3 linked regions of the Canis lupus familiaris genome follow. The protein of the gene in region 2 purifies or fractionates together with the protein of the main gene of each other region. This does not show direct contact. Links are inferred from orthologs where the notes say so. Each region holds a gene or a part of one and is shown on either strand. Other genes may lie near its edges.

Region 1 (6,094 bases), on a different chromosome or scaffold from region 2:
ATCTGATAAGTAAGTAATTTGCTATAGAAGGGAAGACACATATATACAGGATGAAGGTTTTATATTGAGGTTACTAAAAAAAGTGACAGGGTCATGAACAGAAATAAACAGCCCAAAAGAGAAACGAGTTTTATATACACTTCTGGTACAGAAAACATAAGAGAAGAGGGAATATGAGCAATGTGTTTTCAGACACATCAGGTTTTAGGTCCAAAGACCATCAAGAAAGTGGATGATGAGAGCAACCTGCAGTGACGAACAGCACAGTGAGAAGAAAATGTGCTTTTGATTCCCAGAGGCCTGGGCACGTATCTGCCACAGAGTAGCTGTGCAACCTCAGGCAGTTTACATAATGTCCCTGAGGCTGTATCTTCATCTGCAAACTGGGGAGAATGCTCTCTACATTATAGGTCATCATAACAATTACTCCAGATAACAAATACAGAGCACCTAGCAGAGAATAGATGTTCCACGTTAGCTCTCGTCCACCTCCTTTCACTATTCCAGAGCCTGAGGCAGAAGCCCGGCTGACAGATCTAGATCTGAGTCATCCACACATACAGCTGGAGTCATGGGAATGGAGAACACACTTTTGGTTAAATCTAAAAACCAAAATTGGTCCTTAAACACATTTATAATTTTATATAACAATTTTAATTCAAAAACTCTACTTAGAATCTGTATGATTTAAGAATACTAAAGTTACAGGGTTTGCAAAAGGGTTTGGTTAATACGAACTCATTTGATCAAAACATGCTTCCCTGAAAAAAATCAAAGATTCTATTTCATATACACTAGTGTTCATACGGAGGCAATATCAACATCATAGGAAACTTCCAACTTACTGATTTCACTAAGAAACAAGCTTGTAAAACAAAATTATTTTTATCAACTTACGATGAGATCACTACTTGGAGATAAAATTCCCAAAAGAGAAGAAACCTTCCGACCAATTCCTGAAAGCATGCCTTGTCCTTGAGGTAGGATATGTTGATGAATCTTTCCTAAACTATCAGGTATCAGCCGAACCAGCTGGCTTCCCAATGAGGACAAAATAAAACTTCCTCCCTATGAACAAATATTGTGAAAGCAGTTATGCATCTACAACTGAGATAAAGAACATTAACACAAAATGCTTTGATCATAGAAACAAATCATCTATCATCTATACCTTAAAACAAATCTAAAAAGAATTTTAAGTGTCATTTTACTAAAATGATTTAATTATGAATCCACTCACATGATATTAACTCTACACAGAAAAACTTCAGGGATGTCTGGATGGCTCAGCAGTTGTGTCTGCCTTCAGCGCAGAGTGTGATCCTGAAGACCTGGAATCAAGTCCCGCATGGGGCTTCCTGCCTGAGCCTGCTTCTCCCTCTGCCTCTCTATGTCTCTCGAGAATGAATAAATAAAATCTTTAAAATAAAAAAAGAAAAAGAAAAACTTCAGTTATAATTGTTTTTTTAATCACATATTTTTCTTTTTTTAAAAAAAGATTTATCCATGAGACATAGAGAGGCAGAGACAGGCAGAAGGAGAAGCAGACTCCCCATGGGGAGCCTGATTTGCTACTTGATCCCAGGGCTTCGGGATCACAACCTGAGCCAAAGACAGATGCTCAACCACTGAGCCACCCAGGAGTCCCAACTGCATGTTTTCTTAATTCTGATCCTTAAACAGGTTCACCATACTGCAGGTTCAACAAATCGAGTATCACACTTTATTGTTGGCAAACTTGCAGAGTGGACATTAGTAAACTATTCTTCATACCATTTAAGGGTTCCTAAGTCACTGTCTGAAAATTTCTGAAAGAAATGAATACCACTGGCCATGATCCAATATTGGTATTTCAGAGTCCTAGGAGAAGGGCTTTCTTTTGTCCACCTATTGAAATCCTAGACCCTTTCATTCTTCTCACCTCTTTTTGATCCCCCTCTGGCCTGTACGGTCTATTCAAAACAATTTTTAGTCGTTTACATCTCACTCCCAAGCCAAAACACAGCTTTCCAATAAATATAAAAGAATACTCATTGTATACCTGCACTGCTGTTAGGAAACTGTAAGTCTTATCACCTCCCAAATCTACGAAGGTCTCTGTGTAGATATCTTCACCGGCAAGGCTTGGCCAATAGCGGATGGCTCCTTCTCTGGTGGCAACCATGACAGCAACAGCCTTGAAACAATATAACAGTCAGTAATCACAATAAAAAAGACCCTGAAACTAGGAGTCTGGTGACACCAATAAAAAGAAACCAGGGCAATTTACTATTTAACAAAAATTAGGGGGGACAAAACCCCTCCTTTTTATATTTTAAAAATTATCAGACTATAAAATTTACTTTCTTTTGTTGTGCAGTTCTACAAAAAAAATTTTTTTTTTTTAGTTCTACAAATTTTAACACATGTACAGACCCACGTAACTACCACCAATATAGGGACACAGCACAATTCTGTCAACACCCCAAACTTCCTGGTGCTCTCTCTTAATAATCACATCTTTCCCTCATCCTAACCCTGACAACCACTGTTTCCATCATTAGTGTTCCATCTTTCTGAGAATGTCAAGCAAATGAAATCATATAGAATGTAACCTTTAAGCACCAGCTTATCTTACTTCAGCATGTCTTGAGATCCATCCAGATTGTTACTGTTATCAAGAGTTCATTCCTTTTCACTGCTGAGTAGAATTCCATTCTATGGATGAACCCTGTTTGTTTATTCATTCACTTGTTAAAGGACACTTGGGTTGTTTCCACCTTTGGCTATCACAAATAAAAAGCTGCCATGACATTCATACACTGTTTTTTGTGTAAATATAAGTTTTAACTTCTATAAGGTAAACAGCCAGGAAGGGAATTGCTGGGTCATAACAGCAAGTGTGAAAATCCAGTAGCTATACCATTTTGCATTCTCATCAGGAATGTATGAATTCCAGTTGCCCCATATCCTTGGGAATACTTCGTAGTGTCAGTATTTTGTATTTTAGCCATTTTAAGAGATGTATTATGATATCTCACTATTGTTTCAATTTACATTTCCCTAATAGCTAATGACATGAACACCTCTGTGACACCCTTGGTGTCTGTTCAAGTCCTATGCCCTGTTTTTAAATTCAGTTGTTTTCTTAATAAGCCTTGAGAGTTCATTTTGCATTTGAGATACAAGTCCTTTGATGGCCATAGGACTTAAGAATATTCTCCTCCAGGCTGTAGCTTGTCTCTTTTTCTTGTCACTGTGTTTGACAGAGCCAATTTTTAAATTTTGATGAGGTCCAATTTATCCATTTTTTAAAATGAATCATGCTTTCGGTGATTTCCAAGAACTCTTTGTCTAACCCCAGATTATGATGATTTTTTTTCCTGTTTTCTTCTAAAAGTTTTTATAGTTTTATGTTTTACATCTAAACCTATGATCCATTTTGAGTTAATCTTTATATAAAGTAGGAGATTTAGGGAGTAGTTCTTCCTTTCTCTCTTTTTCTTTGCATAAGGATGCCCAATGGTCCCAACACCATTTACTGAAAAGACCATCCTTACTCCATTGAATAATTGTTGCAGCTGTCAAAGATCAAAGGGCCACTCTGTATCTGTAGTCTCTATTCTGTTCAAATGCCCTTATATGTCCCTTTGCCAATACAAGTCTTGATTCCTGTGGCTTTATCATTATGTCTCTAAATCAGGTTGGATGATTCCTCTAATAGTAGAACTTCTTTATTTAAAAAAAATGCGTATCAATAAGCATTTAAGTCACCTACCTGAGTAGATTGTGTTTCACCTGAGTTATCAGAGTAAGAGAGAGCCACCAAGTCAGCACTCCAGTCGAAGTCACTAGGTGGCAGTTGAAGTTCTTTGCAAACAGATAACTAAAGAAGAAACCCAAACAAAAAAATCTTTCACATCAATCGAATTTTTTAAAATATGCACCTGACTTCACTATTTTTTTTCCTTGCATGTTTTAGATTCTGACTCACTGCTGGAAATACCATTCTACAAATATTCTTTCTTCTCACATCTTTTTGATCAGGCTTTCGGTAATTTCAAAACAAAGTTTTTTAACAGATATAGGATTAGGAAAACTTAAAAGCTAGACTAGTCCCTGAATATCAACTACTCCAATGTTTTTCTGGACTAAATAAAGTCTATTGGTTAAGAAAAATACGTATGGAATTTTCCTAGGCTAGTCTTGATTTGTTTGACAACTAACATCAGCATTACCACAGAGCAATTAATTATACCAAGTTGTCTAGAAAATATTTCTTAGCCTCAGCCAGGTATCAGGTTCCTTCTGCTAACTCATCACAGCACCCAGAACATCTGTCTCCCTTTCCTATGCTCACAAATATTATTTTCTATGTAGTAGCAGTACAGAGGTCACAGACATCAAGAGTTTAGGTAAGCAGGAGTCCCCAGTTCCAAAGGAATAAGGCCCAGTAACAGTAACCAGTGAGTGATGTAAGAGAGGATGCCTGATCTGAAACACACAGGAAAATAGGTTGCTGAGGATAAGGTTCTGGAAACACAAATGATAACCCTATGTGAGAAACTTGACAACTGAAAGTTAAACTAGCAATTGCTAAAACTGGTATCATTTTTTTCTTTGTTTTTTAAAAAGACATTTATTTATTTGGGGGGCGAGGGTAGAGGGAGAGAGAAAATCCTGAAGCAGACTCCTCACTGAGTGCAGTGAGGCAGAGCTCCATTTCAGGACCCCAAGATTATGATGTGAGCAGAATCAGGAGTTGCTGCCTAACTGACCGAGCGCCCCCAGGCACCGCTCAGTTCTTCTCTCTTAAGCATCATTCAGTAAATTCAGTGAAACACAATCCTATTTTAGAAATAAACTCAGTTCATTAGCTTATGTGGACAGCATTTAGTCTTTAAACTCCATTAGATAGACTGACAAGATGCTTATAACAATCATTAAAAATTTTAAAGTCTCTAATGTTATTAAATGTAAGTAACATAGCTCTAGTTTAAAATTATTAAATGGGAGGAACTTTTCCCCCCAATAGAAATGTGTATGCATGCTCAGTGTTTCATATTGTAACAAAAATGGAAATCCACAATGTTGTATAAATTCAGATTACTGTCCTGTAACAACTCTAAAGCTTTATTAGAGTAAAAATCTAGAGCCAATTGGTAATCCTCTCCTCTATCTCCTACTAGTTCTCTAAACAGCAATTACCTTAGTAATAGGTGACAGAGCAATCTTCCAAATAATGAGTTTCTCTTTGCAGACCAGACAAGCCCATCCACCTTCATCTATGTGAACAGTGAGCTGATCATCAACTTTAAAAAAAAAGTGTGTAATTAATCTTAAAGCATAAATTTTTAAAAATTGTTAAAAAGAAAAAAGATCCTTAAAATTCCTTATATGAAAATCTTCTTTATGGCTACATTCTTTATATATATATATAAGTTATTACCACATACAAAAAAGATTCATTCACATCAAAAAATGCTTTTTTTTTCCCCAAAAAATGCTATTGAGTAAATCAATATTTATTAACAAAACAAGAATCTATTTGACTTTTATAACCATTTTTGGAAATGTATCTGAAGGCAAAAAGTGTATTTTAGGCTTAGGTTTACTATCTTTTAATATTTGCTATAAACAGGTATCTTACTTTCTGTAATATTTAGTAACATCTATAATTTTATTTTGATATGGAAACACAAATAATCTCCCATTAAATATATAAAAAAATTTCAAGGAAAAATTGTTCCTTCAAAAGAATGTGATTTTAAAATACTTTCTTTAAAAGTATAATAAATCATTATATGCAAACATATATAAATATCAAAGGTGACATTCCATATTTTTTAAAAAGCTATTTATTTTAAAAAGAGAGAGAGCACATACATGAGGGAGGGACAGAAGGAGTAGAAGAGAATCTAAAGCAGGCTCCCCACTAAGCACAGGGCTCAATTCCGTGACCTTATCTAAAACCAAGAGCCAGCCGCTTAACTAACTGAGCCACCCAGGTGTCTCATGGGTTACATTCCATATTAAATGGCAAAACTAAATTAGTATGTTGCTGTCATAAGCGTTAGTGGCCAACTAATGTGTTAGCCCTAGAAATTTAATTAAC
Region 2 (6,291 bases):
GGGCAGCATCACCCTGGAACAGCCACCGTGTCACCAGTTGTATGCTTGTCTCTGGCGGTGGCAGGCTGTGTCCTATGGACATCTCGGCAGGCTGTGGAACTCAGCCTGTTAGGAACAGAACTCGGCCTTGGGGCAGCCAAAACTAGGAGTATGAAAGAATGAAGAGAACCAGTATTCCCCTTCTCTGGAAGCAGGTACTCAAAGCTTTCTGGGGAAAGTGTGCCTCCTGCCTTGAGAACAGGCCATCCTATTCACTACCTCTTGCTTGGCATGAAATAAACTGCTCTTCTGCCCTTCAAGCCTCTGAAGGGAAGAACAACTCCCATCACCCTCTGCGTCCTCCTGCTTGGGCCTTCCCCTCTTCCCACCAGATGGCCTGTTGTGTGGCATGTGATTGGGAATAGGAGGCCTCAGGGTCAGGCACATTGCACTAGACTTCTATCCTTACCTGTTGCCCAGGGACCTTGACTATCCCCAGCTGCTGAGGGGCACCAGTCACCGCGATATGGGGTCTGGAGGTGGTGAGATCAGGAACCATGCTTGAATCGAGTCACCAGACCCTGTTGCTTTGACAGTGCTCAGCTCCAGAAAGCTTGTGCCAGTTGTTCCATCTACCAGATGCAACTGGGCCAGGGAGTCTAGGCCTCATGGGGCAACAGGAAAATTGCCTCCACCAGCTGAGGAAAGAGCACACAGCTCACCTGAGCTCAGCTGGATGGCACAGAGCCATCTTTGGGGAAAGGTGGCACAAACCACACTCCCTGATCCCTCCCTGCACTTTGCCAGGTTTCCTTACTGTATTCCTTCCCTTCCATCTTGAGCAAGCAGGTTTCACTGCTTCATTAGGACAAGTCAAAAGTGAATCAGTTTCACTACCTATAAATTTAAGAGCTTTCCAGAGACTGGCTGCTTGCAGCCCTGGGAAGATTTGTGGGATTACTATATGGAAAATACACCTTTATAATAAGCTTTAGACATTAAAACTATCTGAGTGTTACTACTGAAGTCACTGCTTTGTGACAAATGGCTGTGTACAATATACTGACTCTGCTGCCCTTGTTTTGCTGCATGTCAAATAAAATCATTTTTGCCCTACCTGGAATCCTAATACAGATGACCATTCACTCTACTGTGGACAAAGCACCACTTAGGAATTCCAGACGTATACAGGTAGATATGCTGGCATCACCTGAGATTTTTGTTGGTCAAAGTACAGGTTCCTGGACCTTTTCCTTTTCTAAAGTAAAAACCAGGTAAAGGTTCCAGTTGATTGTAAAGGCTAAATTTCAGAAGCGTAAGTAAACCACTGACCACTCTTGTTTAAGCTAATAGGGAAGGAGGGCACTGCACTCACCGTCATGACTTCTAGGAGTGGCTTTTTTTTCTCTTGGAAGACAGGGAGACCAGTTCCATCCAAGGAAAACATAACAAGCACTTTCTTAATTACCACCAACCTCAGGTTCATAGTAGAGGGGAAACTCCCTAGGCTGGACTCCAAGAATTTGCCTTCTATTTGGGGGAAGAAAAATTTATTTTTTCAGAAATCTATATACATTGCCATATGAAAATGACACATTGAAGCAGCTCTTGGCTGACCTCAGGATCCTTCCAGTGAGCCTTCTTTTATAATGGCCCGGCCAAGATTTCGTGCAAGAGCAAGTCTCAGCATTTCCAACTTCGTGTTCTCCACGTCCTCCTAAAAGTAAACAGAGCCAGCGTGAGGTACAGCAGAAGTGTTCCTTCTTTAAAGCTCTGCAAGGCTCTATCTGACCCAAAGGCAGACCAAGGGCATTTAGCATTTAGTACTAGCTTCCAGCAAGTTGACAGAACCACATGCAAAGGCCCACTGTGACCGCCAGAAGAAAAGAACAGAACACTAGAACCACCCTACTTTCTACTAAAGAGTTGGGGGTGTCAATAACAGGTTAAAAGGTAACTCAAGAAGCACAAGTTTGTAAGGAGCCAGTGTTTCTGGAGGAAAGTAGGGAAGTCTAAGATGGAAGGAGCCTTTTCTCATCACCATTATGGAATCAACAATCCAAAAGCTAAAATAACCTGGAGTCGCTGAACACCAGGCTCTCTCCACACTGGCCTTCTTGAGGCGAAGTCCTCTAGACATCTCATCAGCTCATATGTTTGCTCTGCTGAAAAAACCACCTAGGAGAGAGAGGAGTGGCTGCTTTGCTTAGTTGCTCCCCAGGCAAGGGCTGCACTGGTCTGGGCATGCACCTGGGTTCAGAGATGGCCTTTGTGCAAACCCTTGGGAGGAGTGAGCTCTGTATATGCAGCTCTGGGAGGACAGAGCCCTTATGCTCACTCTCAGCCCTTCCTGTCAGGGCCCTAGGCGGAGTACTATCCGTAGACTGCTGCTTCATTTCAAATTAAGTAGCTTTTCTTGGGTAGATACCAGATTTTCAGAGTGGGCGTTACAGGGGAATGCACACATACGTGCAGGGCCCTACTTGGGAGATGATGTGTGGATGTGCACCCACAACAGCTACAGAATGAAGCACAATCAAGGACTACAAAACACAGAGAAGAAAATCATTCTGAATTCAAACTGTACCTCTTTCTCTTCCAAAAGGGGCAAGGCATCTATTAATAGTATTACCCAGAAAGACCGTGGGGCTATCTGGGAAGTCATCAATGACAGGAGAAGAGAAGCTGCATCAGCAAGACGCTTCTCCCCATAAAATCGGTGGAACTCGCGGTACTTTCCTATTGAGAAAACAGAGCACTGAGTCACCTCTGGCCCTAAACAAGATGAGAAACCCCAGACCAGCTGCTCCAAAGCAGGGAGACTCTTCCAGAACGGTCTCGAAACTCATGTACCAACAGAATTGAAAACACACATAAACACACACACACACACATACATTTTGAAGGAGCTCCAAAGAGCCAACCTCCCAGAATGTAACCACCAAACCAAACCAGAGACGTGGACTGCAACAGATTGAAGAACCCATAGGTCTCAATCTCATCATGAGGAAACCTGACATAAATCCAAAATAAGGGCATAAGAAAGCAGAACAGACTCTTCAAAAATGTCAAGGTGGGATCCCTGGATGGCTCAGCGGTTTAGCGCCTGCCTTTGGCCCAGGGCGTGACCCTGGAGTCCTGGGATCGAGTCCCACACATCGGGCTCCCTGCATTGAGCCTGCTTCTCCCTCTGGCTGTCTGTCTCTTTCATGAATAAATAAATAAAAATCTTTAAAAAAAAAGTCAAGGTGAAGAAGTGCAGAAGCACTAAGAAATGCAGAAGCACTACAGAGACAGGAAAACTGAATTTGTGAATGTGGACGTGACAAAAGCCGTCACTGGGAGAGCTGATAATAACCAGAACATGGACTAGAGATTTTATGAGAGCGGTACATTCGGATAGCTAGTTCTAGAAGAGGATGTGCTTCTCTTAGGAAACACGTGCTCAAGTATTTATGAAGAAAGGGGAAGAAACTCCAACTTTCAGATTACTCCCCCAAAACCTGAGAGAATAATAAATGAGGCAAAATAAAAATGGTGAATTTCGAGAAAGCGTACATGGGAGCTCCTTACTTCTTATATTACTCTTGTACCTTTTTCTCAAGTTTGACACTACTAGGAAATGTTTCCAGAAAATATGCTTTGTAGAGTCTGGCATACATAGTTCAAGGAATTTGGGCTCAACAGGAAGGAAACACTGGAGAAGCCTAAATCAGTCCCTCCCATCTGCACAACCCATCACTGTGCTGAAGGTCCGAGGGACAGAGCCCAGAGACTCACCCAAGAAGGTTAGTCGATCACTGAGCATCATGGCTGGCCCCAGGTTGTCAATGAGATCCAGATCAGAAAAGCAGCCTCGCTCACAGTAATCCTTGAGGAACCTGCCAGGCCCGGCCCAGAGGTCTGAGCAGCGGTCCCAGGCCACCTTCCTCAGCCTCCCGACTTCCCAGACAGTCCCCAGAAAGCCAAGAGAGGTTGAGCCCACCTGTCTGACACCAGCGTGGCAAAGGCAGCATCTTTGGCTCGGATGCTCCAAGATAGGGCAGAGCCCAGGCGATTGTTGCGGACAGCTTTCATGGCTAAGATCTTACAAATGCTGCGGACTTTGTAAGGAAAAAGAAGGTGAACTTTTCACCCTGCAGATCAGGCCGTTCTTGAACCTTGCCAGATAGGAGTAGGCTTCTCTCTCCTCTGAGCTTTCTGCAGCCTCTTCACAGGTTCCAAATACAACTTGTTGCCAACACTGGGGACTCTGGGGCTTATAAATTGCCTCCTGGTTCTATTAACACTATGTCCCATCCTGGCAGGAATGACCTTGTGAGTGGGTTTGATTTTAGGAGTACAAAAAGATTTTTATTGCTCCTCACAGGTCAGCTAATAGGGCATTTGTCCAGGTGCCAAAAACATCCTTTGGGTTTTGAATGCCATCCATACGTTTTCAGCGATGGTCATAAGCAAGCAGATGCCTCTAGAAAGAACTTGGGTTTTTATCCCTCAACAGTGAAAGGAGAGGGCGAAAATAGAACAGCTTTCTTTTTGTGCTCTTCCTGAGCTGCGACTGATCCTGCTTCCCCACTGAGACAGTCTTAGCTAGCAATAGCAACCCACCTGGGAGAAGTAAATTCCAAGCTGACCTCAGTCCTGACCTTCTTAGAGTAAGCAGGAGAGAGGAAGTGGGTCAGGATCTCTTTAAAAGGCCGTGTGCTCCACTGTTTTAAGTCCTGACACCTCCCTAGCCATTTGTCCTTCCTCAATAATTTTCCTGTTTTGGCTTATCTCTTGGCACCCACTGCCCAGCCGTTCTCCAGTCCGGCCAGAGCAGCATGAGCAGCAAGCATGCAGGAGGAGGGTGGGCTCACCTTGCTCAGTCATCTGCCGCTGCTCACAAATCCGCAGCACTTTGAGAGCTTTCTGCTCAGTGCTCAGGGGGATCCGCTCAATGTGCAGCTCCAAGGAAACTCGGCCCAACTCAGGGCAGTAGTCAAAGTAGTCCACTCCCAGCTGCCACAGGCTGCAAACATCCAAGGACAGGAGCGACTGATGAGCCCATGTGCTGCCCTAGAGCTTGGGGACTGGCACCAAGATGACTCCTCCCCTGGACCCGTTGCCTTCAGGGAACCAGACAGGGGAGAGCACAATCCAAGACCCAGTGGTACATCCATGCTGAAAAGCACCTCATATCCTTGGGGCTTTCCTACCTGTGATGAGCAAACAGTCCTGAGGCATATTCCAGCAGGAGGAACTCTCTCATGTTAGATCCAAAGCTGAAAGAAAACATAACAGGAGACCCAAACCCCTGGCCTGCTCCATTCAGGGCCCTCCCACAGCCCAACCCAAGGGCAGGCATGGCCGCCACACACTTACTACAGGTTGTGCGACTGGAGGAGCTTGCAGTGATCCAGCAGGTCTGTCAGATGGGCCACAAACCACCAGTTGCTCAGAGCAATACTACAGATTCAAACACCAGGGCAAGAAGGAGAGTCAGGGTGACTATATGGCCCATGTGAGCCTGCATATCCTTTGCATAAAAGGATGGGAGGGACAATAACAAGTGAAAATATGTCTGGAAGCACACAGCTATGTGCTATGTGGGGACGGACAGTGGATACTCAGAAGGATGGTAAGCCCTCAAAGTGGAAGCCAACAATCTAGATCTCTGGAAAATGTCACAGTGAAAATAAAATTCAGGGATCCAATCACATGCAGAGAATGTGGATACAAAATAATGTGTAAAAAAAAAAACCAAACAAACAGATAGGCTTAATAAACACAGAGAACAAACTGGTGGTTATCAGACAGAGGGAGGTAGGGGACTGGAGAACTACGTGAAAAGGTACAAACTTCCAGTTATGAGTGATTTATGCAAATGAAAAGTATAGCTATGCTAACTTTATGTGGTAACGCATGGTAACTGCACTTCTGGTGGTGAACGTTTTGTGATGTACAGAATTGTCAAATGTAGTAAACCTGAAACTAACACATCAAAAATACAGAAATCAACAAAAGACTAAGAGACTGGTAGTTTTTGATGCTTGAGGAAACATGGACTTCAAAGCAATATATTTGCAGCTGGCTTCACTATTAATGCTTCTCATTGTACAGCTTTTGATTAATATACTTTATGAATAGGACTATATATATACATATATATACATGATACTTTTAAAAACCATCTTTTGTTTAGGTTTCTATTAGTACTTTGTATAAAGAAATTTTGTTCAATTACAAGATTTATAATTTTATCGTATATGTACTCTGGCCACAATGAAGGTGAAGTCCTCTCCCAAACCACACTTTTAATCAAAACCTAGA
Region 3 (6,094 bases), on a different chromosome or scaffold from region 2:
TTCGTATACATCTGTTAGGTCTAGTTGTTTATAATGTTGTTCAAATCCTCTAGTTCCTTGTTGACCTTCAGGCTATTCTATTGAGTATGTATTTTTAAGCATGGTATCACCTGCACATAAAATTACTTCCAAGATGAAAGAGGATTTGCCTATGATTGGACAAGGATTTCATTTGTCCAAGTGAACAAATGAAACATGCAGACCCAAACTATGGTAGGCATTTCTTTAGTATAGCGATAGGGACGATTCCTAGGATATAAATAGCTATTTCCATTGCCCAAACCACAGCTGCCATTTGGATGGTGTCTTTATTAGTAACTTGGCAATTCATTCTATACTTTGAATTAATGAAGATAGTTGTACTGAAATATTTTCCTCTTGTAGTCCTCTCGGAATCCCTTCTTCCATTTGTTATTATGAATGTATGATACTTATTATTCTTCCTTAAACTTCTTGATTTATGCTGTTTCTTTTATTTTTTTTTTAAAGATATGTTTATTTATTCATGAGACACAGAGAGAGAGAGAGAGAGAGAGAGACAGAGAGAGAGAGAGAGAGAGATAGGCAGAGGGAGAAGCAAGCTTTTTGCAGGAGCCCAATGTGGGACTTGATCCCAGATCCCGGGACCACTGCCTGAGCTGCCCAACCACTGAACCACCCAGGCATCCCTATGCTGTTTCTTTTAAAAGTCTCATATATATTGTTTTTGGCCCAAGAGGTCTGACTTTCTTTAATAGCCAATCAGAACTGTCCTTTACTTCTGATAGGAGAACTAACCTGATGAATTCTAAATTTAGCTCCCCAGCTATTGCTAAAATGATGTTATCAACCTCCAAATCTCAATGGCTTATAAAAATAAGCATAAATTTCTTGCTCACAAGTCTGCAGGAAGCTCTATTTCATAATACCAGATGGGTCCATATTTGTTCCATATGTTTCTCATTCTGGGACCAGTAGCTATCCAGACATGTTCATCTTATAGGAGACAGAGGACAGTAGGTCAACACAAACCAGGTAAATCATTTCAATGTCTGCTTGCATCACAACTGCTAACATTGTGATGGCCTAAACAAGCTAAACCCAATGGTGTGGGAAAATCTCCTTCCATGTGAAGGGGGAGGGAGAGTAAGTATTTGTTGAACAATAACATCATCAACCACAGTCTAGCAAAATAAGGCAATTAGGGGCATCAGAGTAAGTTTTTCAAAAAGCTAAATTTATTTAAAGGACTTACTTTGAAGTTAAGCCTTTCTCCTTTTTAGAGTAACAATGTTCTTACTTTCATAAAATGATGGTAATAATAGAAGGCAGCAGACTTTTTAAAATTCTTATTACTTGACAAAAAGTTGGCAACCCTTTGTCAGTCCCTAAAATTTTAGGACAATTTTACTAGTCTAAAAAACCCCCAAATTCTATTATAAGAAAAAAAAAGTAATCACAGACCACTGAATGTAATCCCAGGTCTCTAGCTATTGTTCACTATTCAGAGGTTATTCCTTGGCTTGCAAAGTCACTTATTTTCCCCCTTCTCAAGTTTCATTATTCCAAATGCTTGTGATTAGGAAAGTCCATGAGTTAGAGAACTAAAATGTCATTATTTGTATCTGTGATCTATTCTAAATTTTACCTTAAAAATTATCCCATTTACTCTTCAGGTCTCTATACAAACTTGGGGTTTGTAACACTTGAGGCCCTAACACCTTAAAATTTTTCTGTTCTTGACATGAACATTTTCACAGGCAGTATATAAAGAATAATGACCTATGACTCAGTAACTTTAAAAAGATGAGCTATTATGATTAAAATTGAAAGAGTAGCTAATGGCTTTACTGCCAATGTGAAAGGACACATACTTAAAGGTTTTATGTGTATACAAGTATTCACAAATACTAATGATTTTGTTATAGCCTTATCAAATATTAAAACTATGTGAAATAGCAGAGCTGTGTTTTTTTTCTCACAGTACTGTTAAAGCAAATGAAACTGGCACTCCTTTAGAATTCCCTCATCTCACTCCTGACTCCTCAGCTTATTTCCACCTCCTACTCTTGCTCTTCATCTTGTTCTTTACTTGTGAAATTCTCCACTGTTAGGCACTATTAAAAAATGTTATAGCTCTCATCCATTCCAAACTGGGGAATGGGATGGAAGAAAAGGATATTGAAATGCACTATATCTACAGAAAACCTTATATACAGACTTCAGATTTGTCAAAACAGGAAATCTCTCATGTCTTTTTTTAGCAAAGAAGATTTGCAATTCATTAAACATCAAGTTATCAGACAGGATCTGCAAAATAAATCCACAATATGGCAACTGCCTTTTATTGCCCTACTGATCTTACCCAATAGTGGAGAATTTGACCCAATATATATTTAAATTTCATAAATGCATATATATATATAAACTAAGAGGCAGAGAGGGAAGTTTTCATTATCTGGGATGAGAGCTCACTAGTTTTGAAACTTATGTCTGTGCCATGCTTATAATTTAAATAAAGTGTGCATCTTTTACAACATTTTATGGAGTATATATGAAAATTATATTTTCTGTAATTTTACAATGTAATTCTCATTAAAATAAGATGAAAATTGAAAAATGTGCTTTTAACATTAAGTAACATACCTGCAGGTATGATCATCACTCACACTTGCAATTTCTTGTCCTTCTTTGGGATCAAACACCAAGCCATTAATGAAATCTGAATGGCCCTCTAAAACCTGACATAAGGGGAAAAGGTAGTAAGAATACAGGAAAATAATCTACAATATTTCTAACTAATATTTTTACTTCACTGCCTTAAAAACTTTCACTGCATGCTTCCCTTTTCTATAAATATTTCTTAAGCAATCTGCTATTTTTAAAGCATGATTTATACACCCACTTTACTGGAAGGTTTATCTTGGAAAGAAGCTGATCACTCAACACATTGCTATTAGCTTGATCTTTTTTTTCTAGTATGCATTTCTTATAAAAACACACACACACTTTTTTTACTGTACCTGTCCTCATCTCACCTCCTCTCTCACTTATTATATAAAGCTTTAATAAAAATTAAAGCTAGAATAACTTTCTAGGGGCACCGAGATAGAGCCTCCTGAACTTTTTAACTCATACCTACTGCTCAGCAAACTTACTGCCTAATAAACACATAGTAAGGATTTCACCTTCTGAGGTCTTTATTCATTTCCTCAATGTGCCTGCCAGCACTGGAGACAAGTATTAGAAGCCAATAATCATGACAACCTAGAAATTAATTTTTGTTTTATGGTGAGAACATTTAAGATTTACTCTCTTAGCAACTTTCAAGTATAAAACCCATTCTATTAACTATACTAATTGTGCTGTACATTAGGTTCCTAGAACTTACTTATCTTATTACTGGAAGTTTGGTACCCTTTGACCAACATCTACTCATTTCCCCCAGACCCCAGCAATCACCACTCTACTCTGTTTCTATGAGTTTGGGTTTTTAAAATTCTGTATATAAGTGAGATCATACAGTACTCATCTTTCTCTTATTTTACAGGGTTATTTATTATACTAATAGAAAACATATACATAGGGTTCACTTGTACAAAACATTGTTTTGTTTTATATGAATTAGCTCAGTCAATGTTCATAATCTTATGAGACAGATACTATGATTATCTCCATGTTAGAGATAAGGAACTGAGCACAAAGAAATTGAGAACTTGACCAGTCACACTGCTACTAACGCGGGAGAACTGACTTCAAACCCTGGCAGTCTGGCTCCTGTGTCTGCGCTCTTAAGTGCTTTGTAATTCTACCTTGCCCTATATGCTGCACTAATCATTGGTTGTCTCAAAGTTGGACTCTCAACACTACGCGTGTTCATGTCTATAATCCTCCTACTATACCCAAATGTGAATTTCTAATTCTCTCTCATTTGTTGTGCCTACCTAATATTTTAATAAATATCAAATTTATAATCTGTAGTTCTTACTATAGCCTAAAATTGAGTAAATTAAATCCTAAACTGTATACTTTAAAGGTGACCATTATACGTCATTTTAAATTGAGATAAATCCAATTAAAAAGGCAAAATGATGTTTTCAAATAAAGTTATGAATTACAGTTGTCAACATACCTTATATTCATTTTTATCTTGAAGATCTGAAGTAAATAATCTTATTTTCATATCAGCAGCTGAAGTACAAAATCTGGAATTAAGAAAACAAAAACCAACACAAATCAATAACTGGAGCTACAAGCAGAGACAAGGATGAATCTCACATACATAAAGTCAAATGAACAAAGCAGGACAAAAAAAATGATATTATTATTCCATCTGTATGAAAGTTCATTAAGTAGGAAAAAATAATATAATAACTATATTGTTTTAGGGATGAATACATAGCTGATAAAACTATTTTATAAAGATAAGAAGGGCAGCCCCAGCGGCTTGGCGGTTTAACGCCACCTGCAGCCTAGGGCGTGATCTGGAGACCCTGGATCGAGTCCCACGTCGGGCTCTCTGCATGGAGCCTGCTTCTCCCTCTGCCTGTGTCTCTGCCTCTTTCTCTCTCTCCATCTCTATGAATAAATAAATAAAATCTTTACGAAAAAAAAAATAAAAAATAAAAAGGTAAGAATTGACTGCCGTAATAATCATGAGTTTAATTATCTTTAACGGGAAGGAAGAGGGTTGATTAGGGAGGGGCACAAGGGGTCCTTGGATGCTGGGAATGTTCTACTTCTTGACCTGGTGACCATTACAAGGGTGTTTGTTTTATAATAATCCTGTTAAATTGCCCATGTACTTTTTGGGGCACTTTTGGGCATGTATGCTATATTTCATAACATACCAATAAAAGGTAAGAAAACGTAAAAAACAAAGCCTATCTACCTGGTTTTTCTCCTTTGAATTTATCCTACTATTGTTTTGGGTATTCATATTTTTCCACTCAGAGGAAACTCTAGAACAGATTTTTCTAACAACATTACTAATGTGAGGGTTTCCTAACATACATCTCCTCATACTTACGTCATAAGAAATCATTTAAAAATCATCTCTAATAAAACAGAAAAAGGCTACTTTAGAAGGTTTTTAAAAGAAATATTCCAAGCAAAAAGGTTTATAAAGTATTAGTAAAAGAGTAATAAGGCCATGTTCAGTAAAAACATTGAAAACAAAGGACTTACAGAAGTCAAAGATTATTTACTTAAAAAAAAATAACGAAAGGATCTTATTAAAGGAACACACACTCACCAAACTTTATGGCAAACCTTGTGTTGTTCCACCTTTCTCCAAACGTTGCTACTTGAGTTTATAGCGTTAAGTGTATTTACACCATCCTTTAATTAAACCATAAAGCCTCAGAGAACAGAAGTAAGGTGAAGAGTTGCTCTCCAGCAAGTGTGAAGAAAAGCAAGTAGGGATGAACAGAGAAAGACAGTTGAATGGAAGGCAACTAAACGCTAAATATAAAACTCTAGGAATGTGTTCTTTCTAACTGTAAGTTAAAAGTTAATGATGACAAGACAGCCACCAAGTTTTACTTCAGTCATCTTGACAGGCAACTCTTTAGTTGTGATAAAAATAGTATTTACTTTGGAATTTATATATAAAAGTAAAATAAGAAGTATAAAAACTTACAAATAGAGTTTAATCACAATTGTGTAAAATTATTTATGAAAAAATAGGGCATTGGGTGTAGAGATGGTTTTTGAAAATGTTTTTGTATATCCCAAATTTGATATAGTAAATATGTATTATTTTGTAACAAAAATATATAATTTACTTAAAAACAAAATTGTGCTGTCAGCTTGCTCTAAAAATATTATCCTTAAAAGTGATGGTTAGTTAATGTTCTGAATTTATTATATTTATTTGCAGAATTTAAAAAAAAATTTGAGGCCGCTTATCAAAAAGCAAAAACAAAAAATCAAACAATATAGCATATCCATTAAAAGGAGGACAGGAAAACAGGCACTAAGCAAAGCCATGGAAGAAGATACTTTGTATAAAGGAAGAAGACACTTTGTATAGCTTTCAAAGTCCCCTAGAGAATGCAGAGAGTGAGGGACTCCTGGTTTAGCTCCAGAGTCTGTGAACATTTTCTTTTAACAT

The links.
Region 1: the proteins of NUP85 (region 2) and NUP133 purify together in Homo sapiens (affinity purification with mass spectrometry; 5 studies listed by BioGRID and IntAct, with this or other methods). This does not show direct contact. The link is inferred for Canis lupus familiaris from reciprocal best matches to the Homo sapiens genes NUP85 and NUP133.
Region 3: the proteins of NUP85 (region 2) and NUP37 purify together in Homo sapiens (affinity purification with western blotting; 4 studies listed by BioGRID and IntAct, with this or other methods). This does not show direct contact. The link is inferred for Canis lupus familiaris from reciprocal best matches to the Homo sapiens genes NUP85 and NUP37.

Annotation. Positions count from the first base shown.
Region 1 is NC_049225.1:10,157,587-10,163,680, reverse strand, and holds part of NUP133 (nuclear pore complex protein Nup133), read right to left. Parts: intron 5,292-6,094; coding exon 5,188-5,291; intron 3,866-5,187; coding exon 3,758-3,865; intron 2,177-3,757; coding exon 2,042-2,176; intron 1,069-2,041; coding exon 898-1,068; intron 1-897. UniProt on the Homo sapiens protein: Involved in poly(A)+ RNA transport. Involved in nephrogenesis.
Region 2 is NC_049230.1:6,128,910-6,135,200, forward strand, and holds the end of NUP85 (nuclear pore complex protein Nup85), read right to left. Parts: intron 5,428-6,291; coding exon 5,344-5,427; intron 5,244-5,343; coding exon 5,178-5,243; intron 4,991-5,177; coding exon 4,839-4,990; intron 4,083-4,838; coding exon 3,965-4,082; intron 3,861-3,964; coding exon 3,760-3,860; intron 2,719-3,759; coding exon 2,567-2,718; intron 2,158-2,566; coding exon 2,056-2,157; intron 1,697-2,055; coding exon 1,598-1,696; 3' UTR 1,513-1,597; downstream 1-1,512. UniProt on the Homo sapiens protein: Essential component of the nuclear pore complex (NPC) that seems to be required for NPC assembly and maintenance. As part of the NPC Nup107-160 subcomplex plays a role in RNA export and in tethering NUP96/Nup98 and NUP153 to the nucleus.
Region 3 is NC_049236.1:41,246,164-41,252,257, forward strand, and holds part of NUP37 (nucleoporin Nup37), read right to left. Parts: intron 4,185-6,094; coding exon 4,112-4,184; intron 2,721-4,111; coding exon 2,626-2,720; intron 1-2,625. UniProt on the Homo sapiens protein: Component of the Nup107-160 subcomplex of the nuclear pore complex (NPC). The Nup107-160 subcomplex is required for the assembly of a functional NPC.